5 linked regions of the Coturnix japonica genome follow. The protein of the gene in region 1 purifies or fractionates together with the protein of each later gene. This does not show direct contact. Links are inferred from orthologs where the notes say so. Each region holds a gene or a part of one and is shown in the gene's direction. Other genes may lie near its edges.

The links.
Region 2: the proteins of IFT88 (region 1) and IFT57 purify together in Homo sapiens (affinity purification with mass spectrometry; 3 studies listed by BioGRID and IntAct, counting the BioPlex papers as one, with this or other methods). This does not show direct contact. The link is inferred for Coturnix japonica from reciprocal best matches to the Homo sapiens genes IFT88 and IFT57.
Region 3: the proteins of IFT88 (region 1) and IFT81 fractionate together in Homo sapiens (co-fractionation; 3 studies listed by BioGRID and IntAct, with this or other methods). This does not show direct contact. The link is inferred for Coturnix japonica from reciprocal best matches to the Homo sapiens genes IFT88 and IFT81.
Region 4: the proteins of IFT88 (region 1) and IFT46 purify together in Homo sapiens (affinity purification with mass spectrometry; 3 studies listed by BioGRID and IntAct, with this or other methods). This does not show direct contact. The link is inferred for Coturnix japonica from reciprocal best matches to the Homo sapiens genes IFT88 and IFT46.
Region 5: the proteins of IFT88 (region 1) and HSPB11 purify together in Homo sapiens (affinity purification with mass spectrometry; 3 studies listed by BioGRID and IntAct, with this or other methods). This does not show direct contact. The link is inferred for Coturnix japonica from reciprocal best matches to the Homo sapiens genes IFT88 and IFT25.

What each region holds. Positions count from the first base shown.
Region 1 is NC_029516.1:159,980,392-159,986,065, reverse strand, and holds part of IFT88 (intraflagellar transport protein 88 homolog), read left to right. Parts: intron 1-393; coding exon 394-544; intron 545-1,618; coding exon 1,619-1,734; intron 1,735-3,315; coding exon 3,316-3,368; intron 3,369-4,122; coding exon 4,123-4,188; intron 4,189-5,079; coding exon 5,080-5,186; intron 5,187-5,674. UniProt on the Homo sapiens protein: Positively regulates primary cilium biogenesis. Also involved in autophagy since it is required for trafficking of ATG16L and the expansion of the autophagic compartment.
Region 2 is NC_029516.1:78,424,911-78,431,332, reverse strand, and holds the start of IFT57 (intraflagellar transport protein 57 homolog), read left to right. Parts: upstream 1-2,103; 5' UTR 2,104-2,160; coding exon 2,161-2,315; intron 2,316-2,897; coding exon 2,898-3,060; intron 3,061-3,902; coding exon 3,903-4,021; intron 4,022-4,981; coding exon 4,982-5,072; intron 5,073-6,422. UniProt on the Homo sapiens protein: Required for the formation of cilia. Plays an indirect role in sonic hedgehog signaling, cilia being required for all activity of the hedgehog pathway.
Region 3 is NC_029530.1:4,604,331-4,610,004, reverse strand, and holds part of IFT81 (intraflagellar transport protein 81 homolog), read left to right. Parts: intron 1-29; coding exon 30-158; intron 159-1,088; coding exon 1,089-1,178; intron 1,179-2,571; coding exon 2,572-2,658; intron 2,659-3,710; coding exon 3,711-3,782; intron 3,783-3,867; coding exon 3,868-3,953; intron 3,954-5,674. UniProt on the Homo sapiens protein: Component of the intraflagellar transport (IFT) complex B: together with IFT74, forms a tubulin-binding module that specifically mediates transport of tubulin within the cilium. Binds tubulin via its CH (calponin-homology)-like region.
Region 4 is NC_029539.1:4,768,029-4,774,432, forward strand, and holds the start of IFT46 (intraflagellar transport protein 46 homolog), read left to right. Parts: upstream 1-2,626; 5' UTR 2,627-2,726; coding exon 2,727-3,029; intron 3,030-3,445; coding exon 3,446-3,585; intron 3,586-3,778; coding exon 3,779-3,853; intron 3,854-3,966; coding exon 3,967-4,060; intron 4,061-4,496; coding exon 4,497-4,625; intron 4,626-4,869; coding exon 4,870-4,991; intron 4,992-5,234; coding exon 5,235-5,301; intron 5,302-5,594; coding exon 5,595-5,655; intron 5,656-6,251; coding exon 6,252-6,337; intron 6,338-6,404. Other genes in the region: ARCN1 (coatomer subunit delta), read right to left, coding at 198-377, 951-1,214, 2,415-2,417. UniProt on the Homo sapiens protein: Forms part of a complex involved in intraflagellar transport (IFT), the bi-directional movement of particles required for the assembly, maintenance and functioning of primary cilia. May play a role in chondrocyte maturation and skeletogenesis.
Region 5 is NC_029523.1:22,425,682-22,431,529, reverse strand, and holds HSPB11 (intraflagellar transport protein 25 homolog), read left to right. Parts: upstream 1-2,273; 5' UTR 2,274-2,307; intron 2,308-2,412; exon of another isoform or gene 2,413-2,469; intron 2,470-2,564; 5' UTR 2,565-2,568; coding exon 2,569-2,675; intron 2,676-2,879; coding exon 2,880-2,986; intron 2,987-3,341; coding exon 3,342-3,410; intron 3,411-3,568; coding exon 3,569-3,612; intron 3,613-3,899; coding exon 3,900-4,007; 3' UTR 4,008-4,150; downstream 4,151-5,848. Other genes in the region: LRRC42 (leucine-rich repeat-containing protein 42), read right to left, coding at 424-555, 1,813-2,273. UniProt on the Homo sapiens protein: Component of the IFT complex B required for sonic hedgehog/SHH signaling.

The sequences.
Region 1 (5,674 bases):
ACAATCTACTCCTGTCAGTGCTCAGTGAACTAGTGGAAGAAAAACTACTCACATTAACTGCTTCACTGTTTCATGAGAGGGTTCAGTAGAGGCCTACACTACATACAGAAAGTGTTGGTTCCACAATGAAGGCCTACTCTGCGTACCAGAAGCACTTGCTTCACTGCAAAAATGCAATCTACCTCCCACAGCTGCACCACTCAGCTTGGTATCATCATAAAGAAATAATGGAAAGCCTGTGTTGAAAATAAACAAAAAACCCCTATTGATATGCACCACACTGCAGTGACTAGTATATCTGTCTAGTGTATGGATTATATTATATGAATTAGTTGGAAATATGAGTGAATTAAAAAAATCATCGTCACTGTTCCTTAACTGAAGAAAACTCAGTTATGAAGTCATGGAAGATCCCAATCAAGCCATAGAGTGGCTCATGCAGTTGATCAGTGTAGTACCAACTGACCCACATGTACTTTCAAAGCTAGGGAAATTATATGACAATGAAGGTGACAAATCCCAAGCCTTTCATTATTACTATGAGGTATTTGCTTTCTGTTGCTTTCTCATAATTAAAGAAAATATTGCCATAGTTTTCTGTGTCAAGTTAACAACTGATTCATTTCAACTGTTAAAAATGTCATCCAAAAGAAGAAATAATGACCTTTGCCAGGAGTGGGGGGTTGCAGGCAGTTGACAAAATCTGATTTTTGTAGTCAGGTCCCAAGGAAGTGCAGTCTGTGTTTCCACCTGGTATATGACCTCTAACTTTTCTTTGTCAAGTGGTTGTTATTTACGTTGGCCCCTATCAGTTTCAGGATTAAAAAGGGATACAATAAATGTGATTTTAAAGGTGCTTGACTTGTCAGCATTAGTTGGAAGATATACCTGTGTGGTGGATATGGAGATAAATCTACATGTCTTTGTTTGATTGCTATACATTATGTATGCACAGTTGCCCAAAATTAGACATCCTCTCACTTTACAAACTGTGGTACTGGCTGGGATTTCTAGAGATCCTTTGGTTTCAAAAGTGGGAATAAGACAAGAAGCCACTTTGCACTCCAGCAGTTCTTTTTATGTACATGTAAAGTGAGGATGACCAGTTTTGCAGTTCTGAGTACTGGTGGAATTGTGCGTGATTATAATTTTGGTGCCTGTTTCAATGGAGATTGCTAAGAAACTGCAAATGTTATTTACACAAATGCATTTCTTGGAAAAGAAAGCTTTTAAGTCAGTCTTCTATCAGACAGATTTGAGTGTGAAATTGTATTAGGTAGCATTGTTTATCATTTTAGGTAATGTGTTCACATGTAGACCTGATCTAAGTAAACATCTTAGCTGTTGCAGCCTGTAGTACTTTAAGTAAGGCTGGATGGAAAGTGCGACAGACTTATCTCAGGTAACTTCTGAAATGCATTCTGTAATTAGAAGACTTGGCATGCTGGTTTTTTTTTTCCTCCTCAGGATTGCTTAGCATAGTACACTGCTTCCATTCACATACAACATATTTTTGGCATCTGGGGTATTAAACACTTGAGTCAGATATTCCAGAAGTAACATAAAGATGTTGTTTATCACTACAGTTGTGTTTCTTTCACCTTTTCTGTTTTGTCAGTCGTACCGGTATTTCCCTTCAAACATTGAAGTCATTGAATGGCTCGGAGCATATTGCATTGACACCCAGTTTTGTGAAAAAGCCATTGAGTACTTTGAAAGAGCAGCACTTATCCTGTAAGTAATTTTTATTTTATATCTTTTTAAAAGTTTTGAGATTAGACATCCATAATTATACTCAGAGATAAATTAATTGGATAATTTTTGTACTGTAAGCAAGTATCAGAGTAAACTATTTTGGAACATCATTTAATTTTCCCCAAATTTCTGTTTGTTTACAGGGTGTTTTTGTTCTTACTGTGTTATTTCAATGTTAAGTAAGGGCTCAAGATGGTATTTGCTATTAGAACTTCTTTTTTCTATCCTCTGTCGTTAAACGTAGTGATGAAGTGGGGACCATTTCTACTAAGTCACCAAGACTTCCTTCTCTGTGGCCTTACATGAAATACTCCCTTTCTTTTTATCACACACTGAGAAACTGATGGTTTAGATAAATGTATATTTAAATGTTCTTGCTGCTTTTTCCTTTTTCATCTAAGTTCTGTTCCCATAAGAGGAACAATATTGCAAATAAGGGCGTAAGGAAGCAGAAGTGTGTCATGCAGAATTAACAGTGGATAGTGGATGTAGGTTAGCAAATCAAATTGATTTCGATATAGATATTTGAACTTACTGAAATTGTCCTTTAGCCGAATATGACGTGCTTAAGGATGCGAGTCTGTAGGCTATGCTTTGTATTCTAAGTCAGAAAAGTGAGACAAGAGCATTACTCTTAAGAGAGATATCACATTAACTTATTCTAAATAATCAAATCAAGACCACGTTCCTGACCTTAACGGTCAGTCTGACTCACTACTTGGGGAAGTGGCATTGGCAGCATGCAGATCCTCAGATGCAAAGACTGCTTTCTTCCGTTCTGTGTGAGGCTCCTTCACTCCTCATGAAAATGTTTTCAAGCTCTTATTTCTGTAGGAAGCAATTAGTGTTATTCTACTGATCATCCAGCTTTTCATTTAAAGTAACTAGACTTGAGATTATATTGTATGTAGGGGAGGATATAAAAATGTGCCATTATAGGTACAGTAAAATACTAAAGTATGCAATGTTCTTCAATTCTGCAACCAGTTGGTGCAGCAGACAAATGTGTGCAAATCTCAAAGATAGCATGAAGAGCAACCAGTGCTTCAGTAGCTGATGCTTGTAAAGCCTCATGTACCCTAGAAGAGGCAGGAGAAGCTTAGTCAGAGTATAGGACCTTGTAAAGTAGCTTTGAATAACTGACACATGAAGTTCTACTTGGTTATCTGTAATTATCATCCGTCTTTTATATAGAAATGGTGGGATTATGCTGTTATTAATAAATAACACTGCATAGGTATTTGGTTATTTGTTATTAAAATAATCTAGGTATGTTAATTGATAAATATGAATGTTGGGATATAAATTGCTGAATAAGTATCGTTACTGATTGGAAATAAACTTACATCTAGTAAACTAGAGCCCTGAACACAAGAAGATGACCCACACAAATATACTGTGTGTGAACTGACCAGGTTAGCTGCTTCCTAGGAAGAGACTATACAGGGGTGAAATGTTTAAGAGGAGTTTAATAGCAGGTTTTTACAAATGCTATACAGAATATGTTGCCTGTTTATTATATGCTTACCGTGTGCACAACTTTGTCTTCTTTCTGTGCAGACCTACACAAGTGAAGTGGCAGCTGATGGTTGCCAGTTGCTATCGGAGAAGCGGTAAGCTCGGCAGCGTTTTTTGCAGTTAGCTGAAAAATTGTTTTGTTTTGATGGATGTTTTGATTTCTTTTTCCTTTTGATTTTTCTGTCTCCTGTGAGTACTGTGAGTACTGGTCCGAAATTTTATTTAAAATTTCTATTGCATATTATTTTGTTACAAATTTTCTGTGTGTGTGCAGTAAAGTGTGACTTCTCCTTTAAGTCTGAGAAATATGCCTCTACTGAGTGAGACATAAAACGTTACTTGTGCTCTTAAGTGATTAAAATAAAGATATAGAATCATAGAATATATATATATATAATATATATATATATATAATGTATAACAACATAAATTATTTGCTCAAAGTTTTGTAATGTAATTATCATACTGTCAGATCTAATGTAGTCATTAGATTTTAAAGTTGCTTAATTCCCATTCATTTTCAACACTAGGTGTAATTTTTCAGGTATTCATGTAGCATATGCATTGCACAGACAACAGGCAGTCTATGTGCAGTTTCTTACTGGGAATACTGTATGGCAATAAGCAAAGTGGAAAGAGCCTAACCTTCCTAGATTCTTTCATCGCATAATCGTGTAAATGATTGGTTTTCTCAAATTTGATCTTATAATATTAAATCATGTATTAAAACCGAAGAAGTGGTGTTGAACTGTATAAATTCCTCTTCAGATGTATATATATGTATATATATATATATTTTTCTTTTTTTAATGTGTAGTAATGTTGGTAGGAAACATGTTTTGTTTACAGGTAACTACCAGAAAGCTCTAGAGAAATACAAAGTCATTCACCAAAAATTCCCGGAGAATGTTGAATGTAAGTTGTTTCACCGAGTGGTACAACCATCAAAGAAAACTTTGTTACTTTAAATATGTTTGTTGGTGATCCATATGATGTAAGTAGTTTTCCATACCCAGATATTGTTCTGAACTAACATTTTTATTCCTGCTGCTGCCCCCGTATTGGATTATTGTTTGTTTGTGGTAACACCAAAATGTGACTTAAGAAGTACTAGGATAATGCTGAAGAAGAAATATGAAAATGCACTAACTGTAGTTGACTGGCTGAGTTCATTTTCTTGCATACTTGCTGCATTTTATAATTATGTTCATTGTTTCATCATGAGATTAAAACCTTTTTACTTCTAGTCGCCACTAGGTGAAACTTCTGCTGTAAATTTCCAGATACAAAAAAATGATCCAGTAAAATTTTTACTACAGTCTGTCCTTCTGAAAGGACATAGACAGTTCCTAAGTACAGTAGGTCAAGTAGTCTCTTAGACAATTTCAAACTGCACTTACAGGAAACAGCTTTGAAGAGCAGAATGTTTTACTGAAGCTGAAATGAAGAAGCCCTTTAGGAAACTGGGTCTGTTACTGGTTGCCACAATGTCCTCCTACATCTCACACTGACATACTAATTCCAAACTACAAGGCTGTCACCAACAAACCTACACTTTTAAATTTAAATGGGAAGAGTTTTTACTGTGTTTTAAAATAAAATTGTATCATTCGGCTTTGATAAACCTACTTTTTGAAGAGGAAACATACAGTTATGTTCTAGTGATGTTGGACTGGAGTCACCTTGTATTCCTTGCTGTTTGTAGTGGTCTGTACCTCCATTCAGTATGCCCAGCTTGCGTAGGGTGCACTTGTAGTTTGAGCTGCTTGTAAGCCTTTTTCTCACAATGGTTTGTTCTTCAATTAGGCCTCCGATTTTTAGTTCGTCTCTGCACAGATTTGGGACTGAAAGAAGTCCAAGAATATATGACAAAACTCAAGAAAGTGGAAAAATTAAAGGAGATGAGAGAGCAGGTAAGGTTGTTTCTTTCTGCAATATGGACAGCATACCACAGACAAAGCTAAGACAGTATTGATGGCACTTTAAAATAAAATATGTATTAAATTCCAGGTTTGGAGAGGCTCATATTCTGTGGTTTGGGTTCTTTAGTTGTAAATTAGCGGTCAGCATTAAATCTGTCAGAATGTTTGTTGAGCACTGGATTTTCTGTGATTTTAAATATTAGGGAAAGATAGATTATGTGGATGTGTTGGGATCGCTGGAGCCACATGCATAATTCAGCTCCTCTGGAATGTCGTCTTTCCTACTTCTTTGCCAGAGTGTGAAAAGTATATTTACCAGCCAAGCAATAATGCAGCTATAGAGAGAGAAGGGAGTGCAAGAATTTCTCCATGTTGTAGAACTCCTTTTTGCTATTACAGGACCACAACATTAGCAGGTTACATAAGTATGAAGTAAATCATTTATGTTAGTGGCAAATGTTAAACTGAGAAAGAATTTC
Region 2 (6,422 bases), about 82 Mb from region 1:
AGCAACACAAAACTGTTTCAATGCAAATAAGTCTCTCCAGCTGCATTGTTTTCTTTATACAGTTTATCAACTACCATATCTTTCTGCAATAGGTTTTGACACGTTTCTTGGCATTAATGTTACAAAGTACGCTATACATTTTATAAACATTTAGGCCTTCTTATTGCCAAGCCATCCATTTTCAGTCTGTTTTTGAAGTGTTAACGCTTGCTGCTGATCTTCAAAATTAATGAGTAGAACACAGGGGAAAAACAGCCAAGGGCCTTTTCTGAAAGGAGACAAACCAGTTTTTCCATTCCCTGAAATAGACTCCTTCAGTATTTGTTTTTCTGAAGTGGGGAGTTTGCCTGATAGTCCAAACACCGCAGGTATAAAGAATGTTCAGCTGAAGCCCTTTTGATCAAGTGAACTTCTACAAATACGCAATATGGAAGTCTGGGGTAGGAACACAGACAAGAATGAAGCTCCCCCATCAGCTTTTTAGGTTTGTTGGTCAAATGACAACAGAGAAAACTCACCTGTATAACAACACAAGAACTTTCCTGTAACTGACAGACCACGCTCTTCCTCCATCCAGGTGCATTACTTCAAAATACAGCTGAGCATGGTAAAGAAATTATCTCATGACCCATATAGTTTACAGAGAGCCTAAAGGGCTTCCCCTACTCCTCTGTCCCTCCAGAAAGGAGACCTACACACACTCTAACTTAGACAAGGCACAGGTTTGGCTGGGATTGCTGGTCAGTTCTTCTATCCTACACCAATACTGACAAAGAGTTTTGACTGGTGTGTGCAATTGTATTTATGGTGCGTGTGAATCTTACATCCCAAGGATTTTGCATGTAGCTTCTTCCGCAAAGCAAGAGTGATTTTATGTATTACCACTTTTTGTGGAGGGGGCCAGAGGGGCACCAAATTCTTAAACCTGAAGAAGAGATTATGCAAGAGTAAAACAACCTCAATATATTAATTTATTTGTACCTTTAGCTACAGTGACTAACTAGCAGCAGTTGCCAACGCAAGGAGAAAACAAGTTAGATACTGGAAAACTGTATGCATCAGGTTTTCCAGCATTTGCTTTGACCACCATATGAAACAAACAGCAAAAGGCTTTGTCACCTTGTTGGAATGTGACATTTTGTTTCCAATTTACCTGTACCCTGGCCAAAGGGTTCACCTAGCATACTTACTTCTTAGCAGCATGTGGGAGTGGTCACACATTACAACATTCCCTGTCTTGTCAGACAAAAGTTATTAGTTCTTAGGAAAAGGATTGTTTCTTTGCTTTTTAAGGTAACTTCATAGTAACTTCATAATGGCACATTCCAAGCACGTGCAGCCTTAAGAAAGCTAGAAATGCCTGAACACATCATGTTTTACTAAGGAAGAATCACACGCACAAAAAGTCCGTATCAGCAGTAAGCACAGAAAGGCTTGGAGCCAGCCATAAAGATCACCTACCATGCACGTCCAACCTTTTGGCTTGCAGGAACCTGTTCCTGTAGGGGAAAATAAGATTATTAAGACAATATATTAAATAGCATTAATGCTCACCAATAGAACATGCCTTAAATGCCAACTGCATGCCAATGTACCAAACGCAGACTCCAAACACAACTTCAGCCAGTGAGAAATACTCCCAATGGAACCTTTCTTAAGAAGCAGACCTGAAACGTCACATTTTACCTCACACATTTTGCTTCTACACCCCAGCTTTCACCCTTTCATGCCAGAGTGTTGCTCTGAGCACTATTTAGTTTTACCTCTTCAGAGTTCACGAACAGCAAAGCACCCGGAGCTCCTCTTGGAGGCAGGGAGCGAAGGTACAGCTTAACAGGCTTATATAACTTTTCTTCGGGGCTGTGCCCTTTCCCTTTCCAAAGCACTCCCATGGCTACAAGTCCTCTGCCCCACTGCGCTCTCTGGTACTGTATATCAGTACATACACTCAGAGCGAGGAGCACCAATCCCTGCGCTTTCTCTCACAGCAGCAGCCAATCCAGCTCCTGCCAACCCTGTGGGATGGGCGGAGAGTTTCCGAGCGCTGATTCGCCGTTGACCTGAGTGCGCTGAGCCGCCATTGGTGGCATGGAGGAAGAGGCAGACGGTGATTGGTAGAGCCGGTTGCTTCGGTTACGGGCTGTGGCGTGTGGTTCCAAGATGGCGGAGCGCGATGAGGACGGCGCTGTGGTGGAGCGGGGTCCCGGTGCGGCCTACACCGCTTTCGTGCTGATGGAGGAGCTGCTGGACAAGCTGAAGCTGCTGAGCTACGAGGAGGAGGTGCTGAGGCGACACAACGTGCGGCCGCTCTCCAGGTGCCCCTCGAGCGCTCCCAGCGGGATGGGGAGGTTGTGGGGTCGCTAGGGGGGGTGGAAGTGCCCTTCAGGGCGCGTTAGGTGTGGCAGCAGAACACCTTATTCTATTTAGTTTGATCCCAAATAGTGCTGTTTGTATAGATCGCACAGTAGGTGGGAGTGAGTGGAAGAATTTAGAAGCTCCTGGTCCAGGCTGTGCACGAGTGTAGGTACACCAACCTCTTGCCCATCTGGTAGCTGGGGAGTGTGGGGAAAGTTTGTTTAAGAGTCTGTTTTCCTAGCCTGTGCTCACTCATTGTGCTGTAATTAGGAATTAGGAAGTAATTAGTAAGTATTACTTCTCGGAAAGAGTTGTCAGGCATTGGAATGCACTGCCCAGGGAGGTGGTGGAGTCACCGACCATGGAAGTGTTCAAGAAACGCTTGGATGTGGTGCTGAGGAATATGATTTAGCCTGGAAGTATTGGTAATGGTTGGACTAGATGATCTTCTAGGTCTTTTCCAACCTTGATAATTCTGTGATTCTGTAATTACCTCAGTAGCTCAAAACACCATTGCTTACCATTTCCCCTTTCTTAAACAGGCACTATTTTGCACTGCCCACTAATCCTGGTGAGCAGTTCTTCGTGTTCTGCACTCTCGCCGCTTGGCTGATCACTAAAGCTGGGCATCACTTCGAACAGCCTCAAGAATATGATGACCCCAATGCAATAATATCAAAGATACTCTCGGAACTGCGATCATTTGTAAGTGCTGAACATGCTGTTTTTTCAAGTGCATTTCAGGCACGGACGTGACCTTCATAAATATCAGGAATAACATGTTTCCTGTCCTATCTGATTATCTTCCCAAGGACTGGACAGGCTTTTCCTCTCTGTGCGTTTGAACAATGTTAATTAGAAGTTATTAGATATTTATACTGTCTGTATGTACTACTTTGTTTTTTGACGCTACAAAAATGGCCATAGAATATTATATTTAGTTTTGTTCCACAGTCTGTAAAATGGATTAAATCAAGATTTAATCTTGATTTGCTTCTTGTAGTGTTACAAGTGCTGTTCATTTATAGTGGCATAATTTACACAGTTTACCTTAGAAGCTTACACAATATGTACTCACATTCTGCTCATGCCAAGTTCAAAAATGGAATTAAGTGCAAAGGAAATATTTTAAGTTGTGTTTGTGTTCTCTGGAGAGACATCTGCAACAAACAAGGCAGTGATTAAAAGAAAAAGGAAAAGCATAGGTTTAATCTCAGTACCCAGGTTCCTCTGTAGCTGATCTTACCTTGCCAGGATGGCACTTTTGTTCTTAACCATCTAGTTCCCTTACAGTTTGATTCTTCTGCTCACTAAACATCACTTACCATGTTTAGGATTTCTGCACTGCATCTGTCCCTTGAGTTGTTTTGTTTTCCAATCCTGTTGCCTGACTGGAGCTCCAGTGGAGAAGAATGTGAAATAGCATTGGTAAAATCTTTTGGCATGATGGACGCTTGGGTTTTAGTTAAAAAAAAAATCTGGTTACTGCTTTGAAATGAAATCGATTTATAGCCATCAGTAAACAGCATCATATCTTTTTGTTTTAGGGAAGGCCTGTGGATTTTCCTCCCTCAAAATTAAAGGCGGGTTATGGAGAGCAAGCCTGTTATGTTCTTGATTGTTTAGCCGAAGAAGCCTTGAAATACAGTGGCTTTAGCTGGAAAAGGTATAGTACACTTGGAAGAATCCTCATATACACAATATTTTTCAACAAACGAATAGAAATGGCAGTTATAAAGGGAGGCACACAAAATATAATATTGTCCAGAAATGTTTTACTTGACGTTTCATGAGCTGCAAAATTAAGTTAGGCTTGAAGCAATGGAACAAGGTGATTCCTAATACCACTTCATGCATCTTAGTCTTTTGCCAGCAAGAGTGAGTTTGGGCTGTCAGTAGATTAAATTAATTAATTAAGATTTGACCAATAGCCTCTATTTGGTCTCTTTTTTTGCGAGTAACTGCTTGTTAATCTAACATTTGAGTTGAAATGTTTCCTTATCTGTCTGTTTTGGTCTCATCAATCAGTAGCTAAATCCAGCTCCTCAGCTGGAAGCTCACACAACATGTGATCCTATTACAAATAGACTACTATAACGTTATGTATTGAATCCAAAAGAAATCTTCACAGAGTTCAGATGGCAAACGATTTCAAGTGTATGGCAATTTGTTTAAAATTGCTCTTGATTTCATCCCCTCCCTCTGGTGTGTTTTTAAATTGTATGGCAAAGTAATTTCTACTTTTAAAGTATCTTATTGCTACCAACATTTAGTACACAAATTCCAAAATAGGCTACAAATGAGTTTGTGGAGACTTGCACTTGAAGTTTTAGAAGTTAGACCAAAGGAGAAGATGAATGAAAACTTAATCCCTAGATGTCTTAGCAGCATGAATACAATTTATTGCTTGGCCTGATTACTTGTCCTCACTTTTAAGACAGTCTGAGGTAACCAAAGACTTTGAAGGTTGACAATAATTTAATTTGTTTAAATGTGTGGTACAACCACTGTCTGTTCATGTTCCACATTATTCATACTTAACCTGAAATCCTTTGTTTGCTTGGGAGCAGCTCACTGAAGTATTTCCTGTTTATTTTTGTCAGTACTCTTTTTGAACTTATTTCAGGCCAGTGTACCCAACAGATGAGCTAGAAGAAGAAGAAATAACAGAAGATGATATGGAATTAACACTTAATAAACTGGAAGAGGATGTTGTGGTATGTTTGACTATCCATTTTATATAATATTAGTATTTATCAGCTGTGAAGTTTTTTACTTGCTGTTCATTTTCTTTAAGAATCTACTGGCAGTTCTGTTACTCTTCTTTCCTGCGTCCCTTCTTTCTCCTTCATTGTCAGCTTCTTTGTAGGAAAATTTCAGATAGAGTGGTTAACACCTAAACTCTGTGCCGCTGAACTCAACCACGTGAGCTCTACTAGTCAGACAATTCTCAGTCTACCTCACTGTTCACTCAGTTATCCCATACTTTCTAAGCTTCCTTACAAAGTTGTATTTATCCTTATGTATCCCTTATTGTTGTGGAATACAGTGTCAAACACCCTGCTGAAGTCAACATATACAATATCCACAGCTCACTCCCTGTGTACCCAGCTGGTTATGACATTCATGACATCATGGAAGGGTAACAGGTTGGTCAAGCATGATTTGTCCTTGGTGAATCCATGTGGACTGCTCCTCATAACCTTCTCTTCCAATTGCTTGGAGGTAGCATCCAGAACAAGTTGTTTGGTCACTTTCACTGGGTCAGAGGTGAGGCTGACTAGCCTGTAGTTGCCAAGATCCTCCTTGCCCTGTTTGAAGACTGAAGTGACACTGATTGTCCTCCAGTCTTCAGGGACCTCTCCTCCAAGACCTTTCAAAGTTTTATGGGGGAAAAACAATTTTGTGCAGTCTTAAGGACTAGAAATGGGATGAAAGTACATGCATAGGAAGTTCCGCACAAATGTGCAGAAGAACTTCTTTACAGTGAGGGTAACGGAGCACTGGAACAGGCTGCCCAGGGAGGGGGTGGAGTCTCCTTCTCTGGAGATATTCAGGACCCGACTGGACGCCTACCTGTGAGATGTGGGGTAGGGAGCCTGCTTTGGCAGGGGGGTTGGACTCGATGATCTCTAGAGGTCCCTTCCAACCCCTGCAATTCTGTGATTCTGTGAAATACTAGATAGAAATGCCACAACTTCCCCATGTTTGTGTCCACGTTTTTCAAGGGCTTGTGAAAAATTAAAGGTCATGTAAGTTGGAATCAAAGTGCCAGTAAGAGTGCCAGTATTGTTATCACAGGGCTGTGATTGTAGCCCCAATTTATATGTGATGGTAGTCTACAAGACTGTTGGAGTAGAAGAGTTTCTTTTCTTGTCATAGTTTTCTAAAGTATTATACTTTTTCCCCCACATTTTTATTAGCCAAGAAAAATTCCGTCCTTTTATTCTTAATTTTTGCACCGTATGGAAATACTGGGATGTGAGTGTTAATGGTCTGGTTGCATTTTAAAGTCCAGCCAGAAAAATTCTTGATGAATTCTGAGAACAATTGGAGGCATTCTGTGT
Region 3 (5,674 bases), on another chromosome or scaffold:
CACATTCAGCATTTATTTTGTGTCTGCAGCAAGCTATTGAAGACAAGAAAGGTATTTCTGGATACAGTTACACTCAGGAGGAGCTGGAAAGAGTATCTGCAGTGAAGAGTGAAGTGGATGGAATGAAAGGCCAAACGCTAGACAACATGTCTGAAATGGTGATGTCTGTCTTTAGCTGTTTTACTGCCTCCGTTTCGATATCTGCTTCCTCACAGTATAAAACCAAGTTGAATATTTTGGTTGGACTTTTCACTTTTAATATAGATTTATATAGAAAAATAGATACTTTCAAACAGTACAGATTACAAGCTTTGTCTATTTTTTTGTCTATTTTTGACTCTTTTTGCCTGCTATTTGACTAGATTAATTGCTTGACTCTTTTACAGCATCATTTTATAAAACGTAAATCACCAGGGTTAAGTATTCATTTAAAAATAGTTCATTTGTCTGAAGAACTAAATGTTATTTCTTCTCTTTAGCTTAATTTTCAGCTGTCCTTAGATCTGTAGTGTTTTAACTTACCATGTAGCCATAGAAGCAAAATATTATAAAGGAGCCAAAAGCCAAATAGCATTCTTTAAAATCATTAGGGCACTTTAAAAATAAAGTGGTAGAATCAAAACAGGATGAATCTCAAATAGAAAGATGGGAAGAATTTGAATTTTCAGTATAAATATTTTGAAGTGATTCTGTTTTAGCAAGTTCAAACTTTATTTCACCTATGCAGGGCTTATTTTGGTTGGTTTATTCAAAGATCTCTTCTGCCACTCCAACTCTGTGCAGTTCCTTTGTTTTCCCCTCTCCTGAAGCCAAATGGCATCTGGCAGATGGGTCTGCTGGTCTTGTCTGTGGTGTTCTGTCAAACGCTGGGAACAGAACTGGTCTGGTTTGTGGTAATGATCTCAGTGCAACACAGGCTCTTTCCCTTTCTCAATTAGTTCTGCATTTAAGTTATATACAGTTCAGTCTTCTTTTGTCACACTTTTTTTTCCTCTCCATAATTTTGTTTTCAACTCTTTTCACAATCCTAATAAATTAGATGTATTAATACCATAATATCAGTGTGTAACATTTTGTCCCTCTTTCAGGTAAAGAAATTAAATGCTATGGTGGCAGAGAAGAAGTCAAGCCTGGCTCCTGTCATCAAAGAACTGAGACAGCTGCGTCAAAAGTGCCAGGTTGGTAGAAACACTTCAGAATACTTTGAACAGTGCTTATGGATGGAATAGGGTAGGCAGCAGGCAGACGTTGGGGGGCAGTCCTCTGTTTTGCTCTGCACATTTCTCCATGCAGTCAAGTGCTACAGTTAGAGCAGGAGTTCATTGTACCTGTAGATTTTAGGTGCATATATCAATATGCATTGCCCTTGAGTTATTTGCACCTTTGTGGTTGAGGATATACAATGCGTAGGAGCTGAGACAGTGCAAAAATGAGTCAGAATATGGTTAGTTTAAGTTCGTTTTCATTTACCAGACACTTAAATGCTTCAAGTACTGCAAACCTCCAGTGTCTCATCAACTTTATTTAATTGCATGTTTTGTTTTGTCATATTTTTTTTCGGTCTCAAAGTAGGTTTATTTTAATGCATTAAACCTTCCTCTCATTATTCAAAATTAAGATCAAATTCACAAATGAGCACAACTCACAGAGCTCTGTTGAGCTGTGTAAGGATGTAACCAACTCTGGAGGAAAGCTGGAAATAGAATAAGCAAGGAATGATTTTCAACAAGCAACAAATAAAAGACTGGAATAGCTAAAAGCTAAATCACACTGAGATTGTGTCCCTTACAGTAATTAAGAATCAAAACAAGGAAGGCCTAAAGTGATAAATGATAAAAATTGTGGTTCAAAATCACAGCAAAGTTAATTTTCAATTCAGTTTCAAAGCTTTTTGTGCTTCTCAGCACTGGTGATCTCAAATAACTCTCTCTTTTTTAAAATAGATCAGAAGTAAATTTCATCCCAATGGTTGTGTGCATTGATCTAAGTCCTATATTAGTCCATTGGAATGACAGATTTATCCATCTGTTTTCGAAATTTCACAGACAGCTGAAGAAGTCATTCAGGTCCACAGCTGCTGTAAGTTGGCTCACTGACACAGAAGTAAATTGAGCTATCCCTTTATCAACTAAATTTCCAGAAAACTTATTTTTAATAGTTCTATTTAAAGTGTCAGTAAATGAAATCCAGCTAAGCCATTTGTTGCATACAGCTAAAAACCAAAGCTGTTTTTTCATAGGTAGCAAGTATATTAATCCCTTCTTAATCTCCAATTTCATCATTATTTTACATTTTTCTTGCAAGTGCTGCCCTGATGATCTACCACGTTAAAGCTGTGGCTGCAAAGAGGAAATTTGCATGCTGTGTTGTGGTGTATACAGCTTGTTAACCACTATGCAGCCTTACTGCGTGTGTGTAACAGTACCCACCTGCCTGCTGGGTTTACATAAGTGTCAGGGAGCGTGCCAGTAGCTGAGGTTGATGTGTGAGACCAACGAGAACCTGCTTGAATGTCACATGTCAGTCAATTGGAGATTTCATTTATGTACCCTTCTGCCCTTTTCACATAAGGAATTAACTCAAGAATGTGATGAGAAAAAAATCCAGTATGACAGCTGTGCAGCAGGGTTAGAGAGCAATCGCTCCACACTGGAACAGGTAAGATGGTGGCTTGGTCATGCAGGTTAGTAAATGCTTTGCAATGCGTTTCTCATTATGGTTCAGTACTTTCCCTGCCTTCCCTCTGGATATGGAAGCTGTAGGTTCACTTCAGGTGGCAGTGAGTCAATGGTGATCCACAGCTATGCAAACCATGCCAGAAGCTGCTGTGGACTAGCTGTGGTCCCACACGCTTCCTGTTCTGAACAGCAGCAAATGAACTCAGTGCTACATCAGCCCATTTACTGAAGTCCAGTACTGATTAGCAATAGTAAAAGAAGAGGCCTCTGCCAGAAACCTTGCTGACCTAAGTATCTGTTAGAAAAGAATTTCTCAATACAATGTTAAGGATTAATTTATCAAGACAAATCTTCACACACGTTTAGCATACTCTTTAATTTAGCAAAACTAATCCCATGGCTAATTAATACATTGAAACTGACAGCAAGGGTTCTTCATTAAATGTGATTCATCATGCATTCTTGAGAATTATGGACAAAAATAAAACCTTTTGGAAAAAAAAACACCTTGCAATATAGATATGTCTAGGAGCTTGCCTGTGTGTAGTTCATTTATTGCTTGATCTGCAGCACTTTTAGGAAGGGAGGTACCTAAACCAGTTCAATATTCTGATATCTGGGAGCAGCATTAATACATATGAAATACAAGAATTTGTGGATTATCTCCTATGAACTTTGTCTGGATTTGGTTTTTTAAGGGCTTGCCAGCATAAGGAATATATTTCAAATTAAAAACAGTGTACATTTAAAGAGTAGGTGGATGTATAGGTACTCTTTCCCTGCACTGAATGTACCTCTGTGTGGCTTAATCCAAGCAAAATAAAGAACTCCACAGACAAACCTGCTTGAATAGACCTTCCAGAAGAACTGTTTTTTTTTTTATAGCCAAAATTCTAAAAACACATAAGAAATGAACAAGTCAGAGTTATGCCCTTTCATATTATGGGTTCACATTGTTTATATGGCAAAATGGAACGTGAGTTGTGGATCTTCAGTGAGAACACCCGTTGAAATCTCATTCTTGTACTACAGGAAGTGAAGGGACTTCTTGAGGAGTGCACTCGGGAAGAAAGCAACTACCACTATGTGAACTGCATGAAAAAGGTAAGGTCATGGGAGGGACTAAATCATTCTATGAAATGGAATAGGAATTATGTATTTCTTAAACCATTTGTATCTTTCGTTATAGAATCTAGAAATACAGCTGCAACGTGTTAAAGAAGAAATGAAGACGTACGTCTCCCCAGATCCACAGGAGAGACGAAAGGCAATTCGGTAACCATATTAGTGTGTTTCTTTTGTATTAAGCTGAAGGATATTCAGAATCTGAGATTGAAGTTAGGAATTTTCTCACTGGCATTTGAACTGGAGGAGTTCACCTGATAAATTTAGAAACACTATAATAATCTAAAAATAAGCATCTTGAATTCCAGTATATGCTGCTGTAAACCTATGAGTTCTCTCAGACATACCAGAAGATTTTCCCCTCCTGCTGGAGATTATAGGCCCCAGATAGTGGCTTTAACTTGCAACCCCTGTTGGCACAAGCTCAGAGAAGCCATGCTTCAGTTAGGTCCCACGGGAAGCATGGCTCTACCAGGCACGATGCCTCTGCCAGGTTTGCCTTGAAACTCCAGTTTGTAGGAGATATTCCACCTCTCAAAGGGAGCAACATACACTGCCATCAGATCCTGGCAGCTCCTTGCAAATCTGCTGTTCTTACAGATGCAGTAGCTGTTACCGTCACTAGTCCAGAAATGGAGGACTGAATATACATATCTTAATTGGTTTTGTTTTGCTCCTTGTGGTTTCTGTGCCATCACGGTAATTTTTATCTTTACCCTCCATTCAATTGACACGACAGTTACATCAAAGTTAGAGGTTTTTCACCGCCCTTTGTCTTTATCTGGTAATACTGTATGAGGGAGTTTCTAGAGAATCCCAGTTTTAGTTCAGTGCAGAGGGGGAATCATCTCTGCCCTGTACCTCTCTGCTTCACCACCTGCATCAGTGAGTGTTCCTGCAGTTGGCTTTATTGCATAGGCTTCAAAATTCATAGCAGTATTGATCTTTGATGTGAGACCTCCTCTCAGATTTCTGCCTTTGTGTTTCAGAGACCTGACAGATTGTTGCTTGAGATCTGTGTAAGCTGTCATGTTATTACTGTGGTTCTTGTACAGTCTTTGCTACAATATGCCAAAATGCCTCACAAAACTGTTCCATTCAGAAAACAGTTCAAAACCGTGACTGAGCAGCCCAGCAAAGACAAAACTTGGTTAGGAAGTAATCATTCTACGTTTCACTATTAAGCTTCGGATGATTCATCAAGCAGATGATAAGTTAATTTCCCAAGTTGTCTGCCCTGTTAGGTCTCTGCCTTTCAGGTTAATTTCTGGTTAGTTCTGTTGCAGAGGTGGCATCTAGGGAAGCAATCCTTAGTGGGTAATCATTACAGGATCCTGAGGGGTGGAAGGGACCTTAAAGACCATTTTGTTCCAGCCTCCATAGGGGAGACACCTCTCACCAGATCAGGCTGCCCAAAGCCCCATCCAAACAGGCAAATATCATCCAGTATCACCTGAGGCAATTTCTTGATTGGGAAGTGGACTGAAGAAAATTTCTCTAACAAAAGCAGACAATATCAAAACGAAGCACAAGTGTAAAAAGAAAAGTAGGTGTGAGAAAAAAGCTCAGGGATGATGTGAATATTCATTAGTATGAAAGGCAGCAGGGGCAGGCAGCTGAGAGGAAACACGGGTCAAGCAGCAGGCACTGCCTTTTATGGCTCTGCGGGGAAGGGGAGGGTCTCAGTTTATTCACAAATGTTAAGCAAAAAACTCTCCAGCTCAAACACTTGTGACAAGAACATCCACAGTGTCAATATTCACACAGACAAGCCACTGAATCCAAGTGCTGGAATTTAGGGTGAGTCCAGCAATGTAATTCCAGGTATGGTGAGGAGAATGTGAGCGAGCATTACCACTTGCTCTGCTGTC
Region 4 (6,404 bases), on another chromosome or scaffold:
GCTAAAGCTTTGCAATCTCAGTTTTATTCTGTACAGCTGCTCACGGTGTCTTCTTACAAACACAAAATGCCAAAGAATGGGTATTCAGTGTACAGGAAAGCTAAGTATCTTTAAAAGCCTTGCCAAAGTGGAGTAACACCTTTGCATAAAGAAGCAGTGCTCCCAAAGCACCTTGCACCACAATTAGTTCCACTCACCTCTCGGACAGCTCGGAACACCTTTTCTTCATGCGACTCCATCTCTGTGAAGGTCCGAATTTGTGCCAAGTTTACATTCTCACGGTAGCCCAGGGCAACAATTTCATCAAAGGCAAAAATCAGGTCAAAGCAGTGCTCAGAGATCTCATTCTCCTCTAGAGCTCGGCAATATTCAGGGATCTAGGTAGGGAAAAGCATTGCAAACAGATGTAGATGTGACAATCAGCACCCACTGAGCTGCTGTTTAAGATGAAGTTTTGTGACTATTTTTTTCCTTCAACTAAAACACTTATGGAGTCTTTCAGCACAGTTTTAACTTTGTAATTCACTACAAAACACACCCTGTGATGCTGCTCAGTTTCTTGAAGATCCTTCAGCTGCACAGATATAGATTATGAAGTTAATTAAAAAAACAACTGCAAAAACCCATGACTTAGAAATCCATTTAGAGCACTGCTATGCTTCTCAATCACAATGTGAAGCCAGGACTGAAGGAATGCAGTTGCTACCTAAAGAACATAGAAATATCTGACACTACATTCGCAGCATCTCTTTGGCCTCACCAGTTAAATGGCAAGCATGGATTTCTCACATGTAGTTCAAAATTACCACAGGAGCAGCAAAGGTTACTTCCAGGTCAGGAACAAGCCATAGATAACCAAGTTATGAGGTGGAGGCAGAGTGCTTCAGCACCAGCTTGCCACTGTTTGGGGCTACAGGTGTGAACACAGGACCCGACGTGTAGATCCTTACCACTCTAGAGAAGAGTCGGAGTGTTTCCAGGTCTTCCAGGATGTTGCTGTTTTTCGTGGTGATCAGCACCATGTAGAGCTTCTCCATCGGCTGATACACGTACCTCACGCTCTCTGTTTCCACAAAGGTGTGTTGCTTCCCAGTGTTCATCAGTTTGGGGAAAGCTGCCAGCAGCCCCTCGATGCGGGTTCGGGTCATCTCCACAAACTGCCGGGAGACGATGGCCTTCCCTGCCTTGGTGCAGACAGCTGCCGCCAACAGCACCTATAGGGACACAGACACAGCATTGAAAGCTCTCAGTCCTCCATTCAGGCTAATGCAACACCTTTTCCTATAGGGCTATGACAAAACCCCAGCAATGCTTTAGGCAAAAACTGACTTATCTGTTAGTTCAGCCCCAGCAGAAAAGTCACAATAAAGACCAGAACACTTTGAAATGTGACATCTCTTCCCAGTGCCACACTTAAACTAAGCCGGGTTAATAAAATATTGACCATTATATTAATTACAGCACGTGGATGGTTCTCCTGGGCATTTCACTGATGTTATCACACCAACAATAGAAAGGCATTAAGGTAACTGCCAATTCACCCTTTCTCATTCTCTCCGCCTCGACTTCGTCCTGAAATACTTCTCTCACAGATTAGTTTCTTAATTAACATAGTGAAGATAAAGCAGTTTCTAAAGGTAAGATCCTTTCACTCCCCAGCCAGTTTTAATCACAGTATCCTAACAATGAGAAGCACCAGAAGTTCTTCAGTGTCTGTACATTTCAAGCATGAACCCCAGCACGGCCAGGTGAGCAGCCAGCAACTGCTGTACATTGAGTGGCCATAGGAACCCTGTAGTCAGGGATATCTTGAAGAAAGCAACAGGCATAAGCCTCCATTTCCCAACTGCTCTTTGAAAGGGCTGTGAGTGCAGCACAGCACAGCACAGCACCGAATGGCACAGCTGATCTCAGCAGCACCTCGGCCTCTGTCACCAAGCAGCAGGTCCCGTTCGGGGACGGAAAGCTCACAGCTCCACGTCACCCACAGCCAACGGGACACAAGTGACCTCCACCCGAGCTGGCAGCTGAGGCAGCAAGAGACGAGGCCTGGTTACAGATGTCAGCCTTAACGCTGCAAGCAGCCTCCACGTTACACATCACGCAGCGCACAGCGGGCAGTGCCCCCCAACCGCCCTGCGGCAGCGCCCGGTAAGCGGAGCTGGAGGCTCCCACAGGCCGCGCCACGTCCGGGCCCGGAGCGCAGCGTCACCCGGCGGGGCAGCACGGCCTGGAGCGGCCCGGGTCCATCGCGGAGCTGCGGAGCGATCCGACAGTGCTCGGGGACGAGGCCAGAGAACGGCAGCGGAGCCGCCGAGCGATGAGCGGCCTGGCCAGGCCCCGCGAGCTCTCCGACCCCGGTCCGGCCGGCAGCGGCCCCACGAGCGGCGGCTGAGCTCTGGGCACAGCCTTACCATGGCGGCGGCTCATGGCCGGGCACACCCTTACCATGGCGGCGGCGCTCGGCTCGGCGCTCGCTCCCTCGCGGCTCCGCGTCCCCTCGGGCAGCCCCACAAGATGGCGGCGCCGAGCCACGTCCCCAGCCGGAAGCGGCGCCGCGCACGACGCGAGGGGCGGGGCGGGGCGGGAGGACCCGGAGCGCGGCCCTGGGGGCGGCCCGCGTCAGTACCGGCCCCGGCCGGCAGGGGGCGACACCCACACGCGGCTGCGGGGCCGGGCCGCGGGCGCCGCTCTAGCCGGGAGAGGGAGAGCGAGACGGGGTCGCCATGGCGACGGAAGGCGGCGTCATGGCGGAGCGGCGGCCGGCCGAGGGGAGCGGGGACGGGCCGGGCCGCGCCATCGCCTCCCCGCGACCCTCCGCACAGCCTCGGCCCGTGGAGAACCAGCCGTACGACGAGAGCCTGGAGCTGCCGGACACCGAGGAGGCGGCGGGGAGCGAGAACCGGCCGCAGGGATCCCGCCGGCCGGGGCCGATCTGGTCGGGAGGAGGCGGCACGGGAGCGCGGCCCAGCGGGGCGGGAGAGCGCGGCAACGACCGGGAGGGAGGAGGAGGCAGCAGCAGCAGCAAGGTACGGGGGGAGAGGGGCGGTACGGCACGGGACGGTACGGCATGGTATGGTACGGTATGGTACGGTACGGTACGGTATGGCACGGTATGGTACGGTACGGTACGGTATGGTACGGTATGGTACGGTATGGTGCGGTATGGTACGGTATGGTACGGTATGGTACGGTATGGTGCGGTATGGTACGGTATGGTACGGTATGGCATGGTATGGTACAATACGGTATGATACGGAACGGTACTGCACGGTACGGTACGGTATGGCTCGGTACAGTACGGTACGATACGGTACGGTACGGTACAGTATGGCACGGTACGGTACAGCACGGTATGGTATGATACGGTACGATACAGTACAGTACGGTACGGCACGGCACGGTACGGTACAGTAAGTAAGGCCGCGTCCCTCCTGCCCTGAAGGAAACAGTGGCCAGGCTGGGACCCTCCACCGCCAGCGAGGACGACGATGATGACGATGATGATGATGATGATGACGATGATGAGGATTCCTCCGAGAGCGACTCTGAGGACTCGGAGGAGCGCGGGGCTTCACTGGAGGGGTGAGCAGCGGAGGGAGCCGGGAACCCGTGGCTTAAAAGGGTTGAACAGAGTTGTGCACGGACAGGAAGCCTCTTACAGTGAGAGTGTCCTGCTTCTGCTTTGGGGCACAGCTGGATCCATGTTCGTGCCTTTGTTCTTGTACAAAAACTGATAGGAAGTAATGTCTGCAAGAATTGCTTTTCCTCTCTTCAGTGACTACAACCTCGCAAACTATGACTACCTGCCGGTATCTCCTGAAATTAAAGAACTCTTTGAATACATAAGGAGGTGAGTTGAAGGAGCTTTCGCCTGCCCTGGGTTCTCCTTTGTCTCAAGGTCTTTGTCTCTGGCAGGAAATGTCAATTGCCCACTATGCAATCCTGTTGTTTTTCTCTCTCAAGATACACTCCGAAAACAATACAGATTGAGCACAAACTGCAGCCTTTTATTCCAGACTTCATTCCTGCTGTTGGAGACATTGATGCCTTCCTAAAGGTACAGTGTTTTCAGATATCCCCATACCTGCTGACACACAGGGTGAAACAGAAGGTGGTTTAGATATGAGCCTGGCAGACTGCAGCCACACTGACCTGGTGGTAGCGAGGTGCCCTTGCCCTGTGCTGCAGATACTGCTGTAGACACCTAGGAGATCACAAATAGCAACACTATGACCTGGCTGGTCACTTTGGTAACATCCCACATAGCACATATGTAATTTGGTGCAAGGGCTGCCTGTTTCTTTGTCCAACACCTTATGCATTTCAGGTACCGCTGTGTTAACAACTCGTATTTTCTGCTCTTTCAAAGCATCACGCTTACAAATTTCTTCTGAATTGAGTCTGAATTTCTAACAACAGGGAGAAGCTGTACAGAATAGTTCCAGCATCCCCTGCTACTCCCATAGAGGATTCCTTCTGTGTTTTACCTGCAGGTCCCACGCCCAGATGGCAAGCCTGATAACCTCGGTCTGCTGGTCTTAGATGAGCCATCAACAAAGCAGTCAGATCCCACAGTACTCTCTCTTTGGCTAACGGAGAATTCCAAACAGCACAACATTACAGTGAGTCATGGGGAGAGAGAAAACATTTACTGCACCCAGGCTAGAATGAAGACATTGCACTTTACTCTTTGTGGGACTATAGCAACACAACACAACTGATAACTTGGCTTTAAAAGCAGAAAAATAACCCTTTTTGACCTATAGCTTTAAACTGAAATGTATCTAAGCCCTGCCTCAGGCAAGTCTCAGTACAGACTTAGGAAAACCACCACAAAGTGCTTCCAGGTTTCTATTTTTGTTTCAGCAGCAGATAAAAGTGAAAAGTGTGGAGAATGCAGAGAAGAACCCCAAAGCCATTGACAACTGGATTGAAAACATCAGTGAACTGCACCGCTGCAAACCTCCTGCCACTGTCCACTACAGCCGGTGAGTCATTATGTCAGCAGAACATCAGGTCAGTGGGTGGCAAAGTCCAGGAGCACTGAGCAGGATGATCTCAGTGTCTCTGAGAGGAATAAGACGTGCTGAGTTTCAGGCCAGTTGTTCTAGCGTGTTTCTTTAGCCTTAGTGCTAAGACTGTCTGTCCCATTCACAGCAATGGCAGTAGGAAGCCATTTCAGCTTCTTGCCTGCAATCCTAATGTTTCTGTTTTTCTTTCTTCCTTTACAGGCCCATGCCTGACATAGAGACCCTCATGCAGGAGTGGTCACCAGAATTTGAGGAGCTCTTGGGAAAGGTATGGCATCCAAGTGTCAGGCACAGCATTACAAATTAAAAATGTTCAGGGCTCAGCATTAAAAATGATCCCACTTGAAATCTAGATTTCTCTTCCTCTTTGACCAGTTTGCTTGCACCCTGTTCAGTTCAGATTTGTTCTTCACTGAACATTTTGTTCTGATCAGACAATGGGAGCAGCCTAAAGTCTGAATGCCTGGCTGCTGCCCAGGTAGCCCCTGTTCTCAGTTCTGGTTTCGTGCATGTTCTCAGGCCTTTGCTGTATGAGAGCAAAACTGACAACTTCTTTTCCAGGTGGGCCTCCCAACTGCAGAAATGAATTGTGACCTGGCTGAATACGTTGACATGATATGTGGTAAGCAGGGAAGATCCCTCTTTTCCCCTTACTTACAGATTATCTGATTGTCCCTATCCCTAGCACAGAAATTAGCAACAAAAGGAAATGCTCAGCTTTGAGAGACAGTGAGGTTTCTCAAGCTGGTCCAAAGAGGATGTTTCAACTAACTGTTATCTCATTGCTATTCATCTTTCATGGGCTTGGGTTCTTTCTGCTCTGCTCAGCACGCTGATGATAGTGAGCAGTCAACTCTTCAAAGAGCTTAGGTAGGAAAAACCAAACAGCTCAATCCTTGTACATATACTTGATCCTTTTGGACATTCAGGACAGTCCAACTCCAGTCTTGCATACTGTTCACAGCTGAAGACACAAATGTACTGCTGGCCTGTCACTGTTATTAAAAAAAAAGGAGATTTGTAGGTACAGATTCAGACCTAAGTAGTCAAGTCCATTCTTTGTCGCCTTCAGTAGGAAGTGGACTCTTGTGGCAAAGATGCGTGCAGTCATAGATGAGCAAAGGGCCAAGTCATTGGAGGCAGTGAGAAGTTCAGGGCTGACCTACAGTACTCCATACAGAGGAGAGTAGTCCTGTACTCTTCTGCTTTTCTTTGTAGCCATTCTGGACATCCCTGTATACAAGAGTTGGATCCAGCCTCTGCACGTCCTTTTCACACTCTACTCGGAGTTCAAGAACTCCCAGGTAAGCAAGCCCAGGCAGACACAGGTCACTCAGCTGGAAGCATTACAAAAGACATCCTATCCTTAAA
Region 5 (5,848 bases), on another chromosome or scaffold:
ATGAAATATTCAGCCTGGTGCTTGCAGGAATCTCCATCTGGCACAACAGTTAAAAATTGGGCTGATAAAAGTTCTCCCTTAATGAAGGAAACAACCATGTGAAGCTGTTCCAAATGCTCAGGGTGCATTTATATTAGCTGACAACTGATACTGCAAGAAGCTGATTTATACACGAGCAGTAAGTTAACTTGCACACTGGGAGGACCTTTGAGATTCAGCGTGTCCTTTGGATCACGTGCTTCGTGTACAGTAAGTTCTGTATTTTGTTTACCTCAGGTGCAGGTTTTATCAACAACCCAAATCTTCAGCCTTAAACGCTGCTGCCTGTGACATTTTCCTTCAAAGTCACAGCCCGATTCTTTGAACTGTTTAGTAGCAGCAAAAGCAAACGTCCTTTCTTGGTACATGTGAAGCAATGAGTACCTCGACAGAGCCTCTTTAGTGAGGTGTTCCAAAAGTTCATGGTCATCTCCAAGTTTACAACAGGAAAGATCCAAACAGGTCAGCTCCCGGAAAGACTTGATTTCTTCCAGCTTTTCAGAGATAACCAGGTATCTGTAAGGAACAAAAGAAGCTATCGCTGTTGAGGAGGATAATAAAGGTCCCATGCTCTCAAATACAAGCATAATGCAGTTATTTCTCACATATCTATGCAGAAGTTGACAGAGATCAGCCAGCTGTTGTAACTGCCTTTCAAACACTGTTCTGCCTACAAAGCACCTGAGCTCCCAGCTTCTCCTCCAACGGATAGCACACTTGCTTTGACAGAGTACCAGACTAATGATTAAGACTTCGACTTGCAAGCATCGCTATATATAATTGGGCCCTATATTATATATAGGGGCTTATTTACAGACCATTGCTCGCTGGACTCCAACCAGAGCTGTGGCTGCACCCCAGGCAGCAGTTACACAGCGGGTTATTTTCTTTGGCTGTGTTGGTTCTCTGATCCGATTCACTCTGCAGCCACGCAAGCATCTGTGCCGGAACTATTCAGCAGGAGATTTAGAGATGGGAATGCGCTGTAATATCACCTACCTCCATCTCCCCTGTGTTTATGGCAAGACAATCCCTCAACTCACTAATATCTCCTGAATTTACCTCTTCGCCCCCATGGCAAAGCAATCCCTGAGGAGAACATTCTCAGCGGTGAAATTAGGGGTGCTTACTATAATCCCTGGAACCTTTTTGCCTATGTGAATAAGAGCATTTTCTCTGTGCTGGTGCCCATACTGAAGCACTCCACCACATCCCTCTGCCACGCAGCTCAGATGGGTGGAAGGCAGTTGGAATACAAGACAGTTCTTGATAGGTAATGCGAGTTTTACTATGAGTGGGCTCTTAGAAATGAGGCTCATAAAACATGTCTTAGCGTCTTACTTCCTGGATTTCAAAGATTTGACATTTAACCGAGCTTGTTTTAATGATAAAATATGCCAGAGGTAATTCCATTTCTGAATGGAGCTCATAAAAGGTACCTGTACTAAAAGAGGGAGTACCTTGAAGGGATAAAACAAGGTAATTGACCTCTGCTCAAACATTCCTGCTGTGCTTGGCACTGCAGATAAACGTGCCTGTCCTTTGAGTTTAAACTGAATAAAGCAGCCCTTTCTGAATGTATAGATGGAAGGCAGACTCATTATATCGCTGCCCAAGACTTCAGCAGGAGCAAAGCTTTAAAAGCAGGCCCAGTTTTCAGCTTGGTGAGGCACTCTAGTAGGAAAAGAAACTGTGGATGTTTGAGATTGAGAGAAAACAAGAGAACCTGAAGCACAGCAGCACAGATGCTGATGTGTCACTGGGTGCTCCTACCTGTTCCGCAGACACAAGGAGCACAGCACCAAGCTGCCATACGCCTCGGTGAACTTCTGCAGGGCTCGCAGTCCCGTCACGGGTTCTGTGAATTTCTGCCTCGCTTCTGCGGCCGAAAAGAGCTTCTCTGCGATCTGCTCCGGGAAACCCACCAGCGAGTCGATGTGGTCAACGTTGTCGGAGATGTAGGCCAGCACCAGGCTGAACAGGGACTTGGCCGAGTAGCGCAGGTTGCCCTCCTTGGTGTAGGTGAAGATGAAGTGCTCGGTCCTCGGCCTCCTGGCCCTGTCGTCCTCCCCGTTCAGACGCAGCTCCACGGAGAACCCAGCGGGGAACAGGCGGACAGGCCGCGCTGTGCGGGCCCCGTTCTGGATGCCGCCCGCACCCGGGCTCACCACGCGCAGCTCCCCACGTTCACGCACGTAGATCGGCCCGGCAGCCGAGTGGAGCCAGTACGACATTCCCCACGTCCAGCACTGCGAAAAGAAGCCAGAGGTGGGTAAAGCTGCCGGGGGCGGGGGCTGGGGAAGGGGCCCGAGAGCGAGCAGGAGCCGGGCCGGGCTGCGGGGGGAGCTGAGCGGGATCCCGACCCCCCGTTACCTGCCCCGGGGCCGCCCCGACACGCCGTCACCCGGCCGGGCCGCTCCGCCCGCTCCCGCCGCCCATCGCGGGGCCGAGCCGGGGGCGGGCAGCGGGGGGCGGCGCCGTTCGGTTGCCGGCCTCCTGTTGGGTTCCGTCCTTTGCTTTCCCAGCTCCATGGTGAGGATGCGGGCCGCTGACTGGTGTCTGAGCGCGGCGGGAGCTGCCCTCGTCATGGCCACATCCAGCGACACGGAGCACCCGGCCCGGAACGTGGCGGACGGGTGAGGGCTGCGGGCCGGGATCGTGGGATGCTGCTCACAGGGCTCATAACCATGAGCTGAATCCGGCCCTGCAGCACAGCAGCCCCGCTGCACACGGCCGTTCGGTTACAGCACCCCACATAGAGCGGCTTTCCACTCTTTATTCTGTTTATTGGTCGTAAGCAATGAGCCGCAGCGGGTGCTTTTGTGCTGTTTTCTCCACAGAAGTTCCGACACGTTCTGGACGACAACAGGGATGTTCCCGCAGGAGTTCATCATTGGATTTCCAAAGCGTGTGACCATCAGCAAAGTGGGCATCCAGTGCTACCTGGGTAAGGGCTCCCATAGCAGCACATGGCTCACGTTGTTTGGGGCACATATCTCTGCTTATATGTACACACTCACAGCACCGTCTTAGTTCTGAATAGTCACATTTAATACACATTAATGCATTAATACATCACAGAACCATTAAGGCTGGAGAAGACCTCTCAGTTTCCCCCTCCATGACCCACTGCCCATGTCCCTCAGTGTCACATCCCCACGTCTCTGAAACACTTCCTATCCCCTACATTAGAGCAGGCGTTAATTATAAGGTACTTTGTAGATGAAACATGATGCAACAAACATAAAGATCCCGTAAACCTCAGCATTTATACTGATACTTTAAATGCATCTGTATTTTAGTGCGGAGCTTGAGGATTGAAAGAAGCGTATCTAAAGACCCAGTAGACTTTAAAGAGTGCGTTGAAAAAGGTAAAGCTCTGAGCATGAAGCGGTGGCACTTGGGCTACATTGCTGTTTGCAGACATAGAATGCTGCATGAGGGTTACAGGCCCTTCAACCTGGTGAATTTCTCCCAGCACTGCACCCTGTTCCTTATTATTTGCTGAAAACAAACCCATGTTTTCTAGATTTGCAGCACACGGAAGGACAGCTTCAAATGGAAGAATTTCCTGTGAGTATACACGGGATACACCGTCATGGGGTGGGATGTCTAAACTAACTGGGTGGAAGCTATGAGAAAGACACGATTATTGCCAAGCTGACATTAGATGTATTGCCCTTTGCTGCTGCTTCTCTGTTGATGATGGTGTGAAATGGCACCTCAAGTTACTAAAAGAACTGAACTTACCTCTCATTTGGAAACAAACATCTCTATCTTTGTCATGAGCTTCTGTAAGTAGTTTGATAGTTACGTTACTACCAAGAATGAGCTAACGTTATTTCTCCTTTTCTTTACAGCTTCCTGATTTTCAGGCCACTTATTTGCGATTCATCATCAAATCCGCCTTCGATCATTTTGTGTCGGTGCACAGGGTGATGGCAGAGGGCACAGCAGAAGACACTTAAGTCTGGCTTAAATTTGTACCTCTTCTTTTTGGTATTATATTTTCGTATCTCTATCATAAGAAATATTTATTACAAACTGTGTTTAGGTCAGACTTTGTTAATACATGAATTAAAGCTCAGTTTCCTGTGAGATGTTTCCCTTACACTCTGAGTAGAAAAGGTGTGAAATACTTAAATGAGAGGTATTACTTCTTACTGTCAAAGAAGCTCTTCAGAAGTTCTTATACTGGAAATTTGCTCATTAACTCAAAATAAACTGTTTAATAGGATGAATGTAAGCTACTAATGCTTGCAAATAACCAGAGGGGAACAGAAACCAAGCGAGAGCTGTGCTGCTCTGAGAGGTTTGTTTGTTTATTTGTTCGAGTAACGGCAGATCAATCCTTTGTTTCTAAAAATATTTTCTGAAATCAGGTCACAGCTGTCAGTGCTTTATGCTGTGACTGTCATAACAAATATTATAGAAACAAATGTCCAGAGATTGTGTCATTCAGAAGCCTTCTGAGGTGAGAGAAACTGAACGTTTAGGAACATGGTTTGTATGCGAGAGAGACAGAGAAACTTAATGATGTGAAATCAGTTGTTTTGCCTGAAATTGGCTCTTGCAAATGTCACCACCACGAAGGTTGAACCTGCACCGTATTCTTAAAGAATGTAGATGTTGGTGTCCAGTCATAACAGCTGACTGACAACAGAGCTGAACATCTCCAGACACATGAATGGTGAACCACGATACGGATGCTCTCTAAATGCACATGCGTTGTTCTCTTTCTAGTTGTTTCTTGGATTTTGAGATTTTAGTGTTTTGTTTTGTTTTTTTTTAACTCTCAGGTCTGTGAAAGCTTTATCCCTTGACCTTCTGTATCCATATAGTCTTCACTCTGATGTCCTCTTTCTATTTCAGTTTTTCCAAGACGGTGCGTATTTCCTGGGGGTGGTAATTCCAAGGCCCCACTCCTCCCTGCAAAGGCAATAAAATTATACAGTGAAGCTCAAATATACAGAGCAGAAGCCTTTAGAGCACAGTGGTTAAATCAGAGCGGTGGGTGGGTTTCCTTTGCTCGGCAGCCGTTGCACAGGAGATGGTGTGTGCACAAGTCACACCCTGCTGTGTAACTGGGACAGGGCCCATGTCTGGCTCCTGGAGCAGGGGAGTGTGCCTGGATCTTGCATTTAGATGTAGCTAGGTTTTCTAATAAGCCACAGGATAAATATTTGAGCAGGACTGAGGTGTACATCAAATATGTACATTGTGAAGGCCCAGGCTGGTTTTGCCACAAGTCCTTGTTTCCCTGTGGTTACAGTGAATTGTGAAACGACTAGCTATGAAATGGAGTGAAGTACTGACTGTTGAATAACATGTAAGACATTCTTATTTTAACAGTTAAGGATCTCGATATGTTGTGCTTGCTATGGTTGATAGTTTTTACCTTGTAGATAACATTCCCTGCTTGAAGTATATACAGTCTTTCTGGCAGCGCTGCGTATTTTGAGCTGCTCAGGTTTTCCATTGTGTCTAAAACCACTGGACATAAGGGATTCTTCTGCTGAAGAAACTGTGCTGCAGTTTTTCTATCCTCGAGGCTTCTGTGATTTTTAATAACAACGTTGTTTTTGAAGGCCCATCCGTCTGGAACAAACGAGAGAGGTACTTAGCAGTGCAGTTTAGCTGTTGGGTAGAGATGTACTGTGTCATATATTGCAATGCACTCCTGACATCAAAATGTGCTATGAAATGAGAGGTCCTTCTTTTAGAGTGTGAGGATGGTACAGCTTTGAGACAAATGATCCTAAGTGTTTCCCTTTGTCCTGGATTCAGAAATACTGAGTGTATTTTAGCT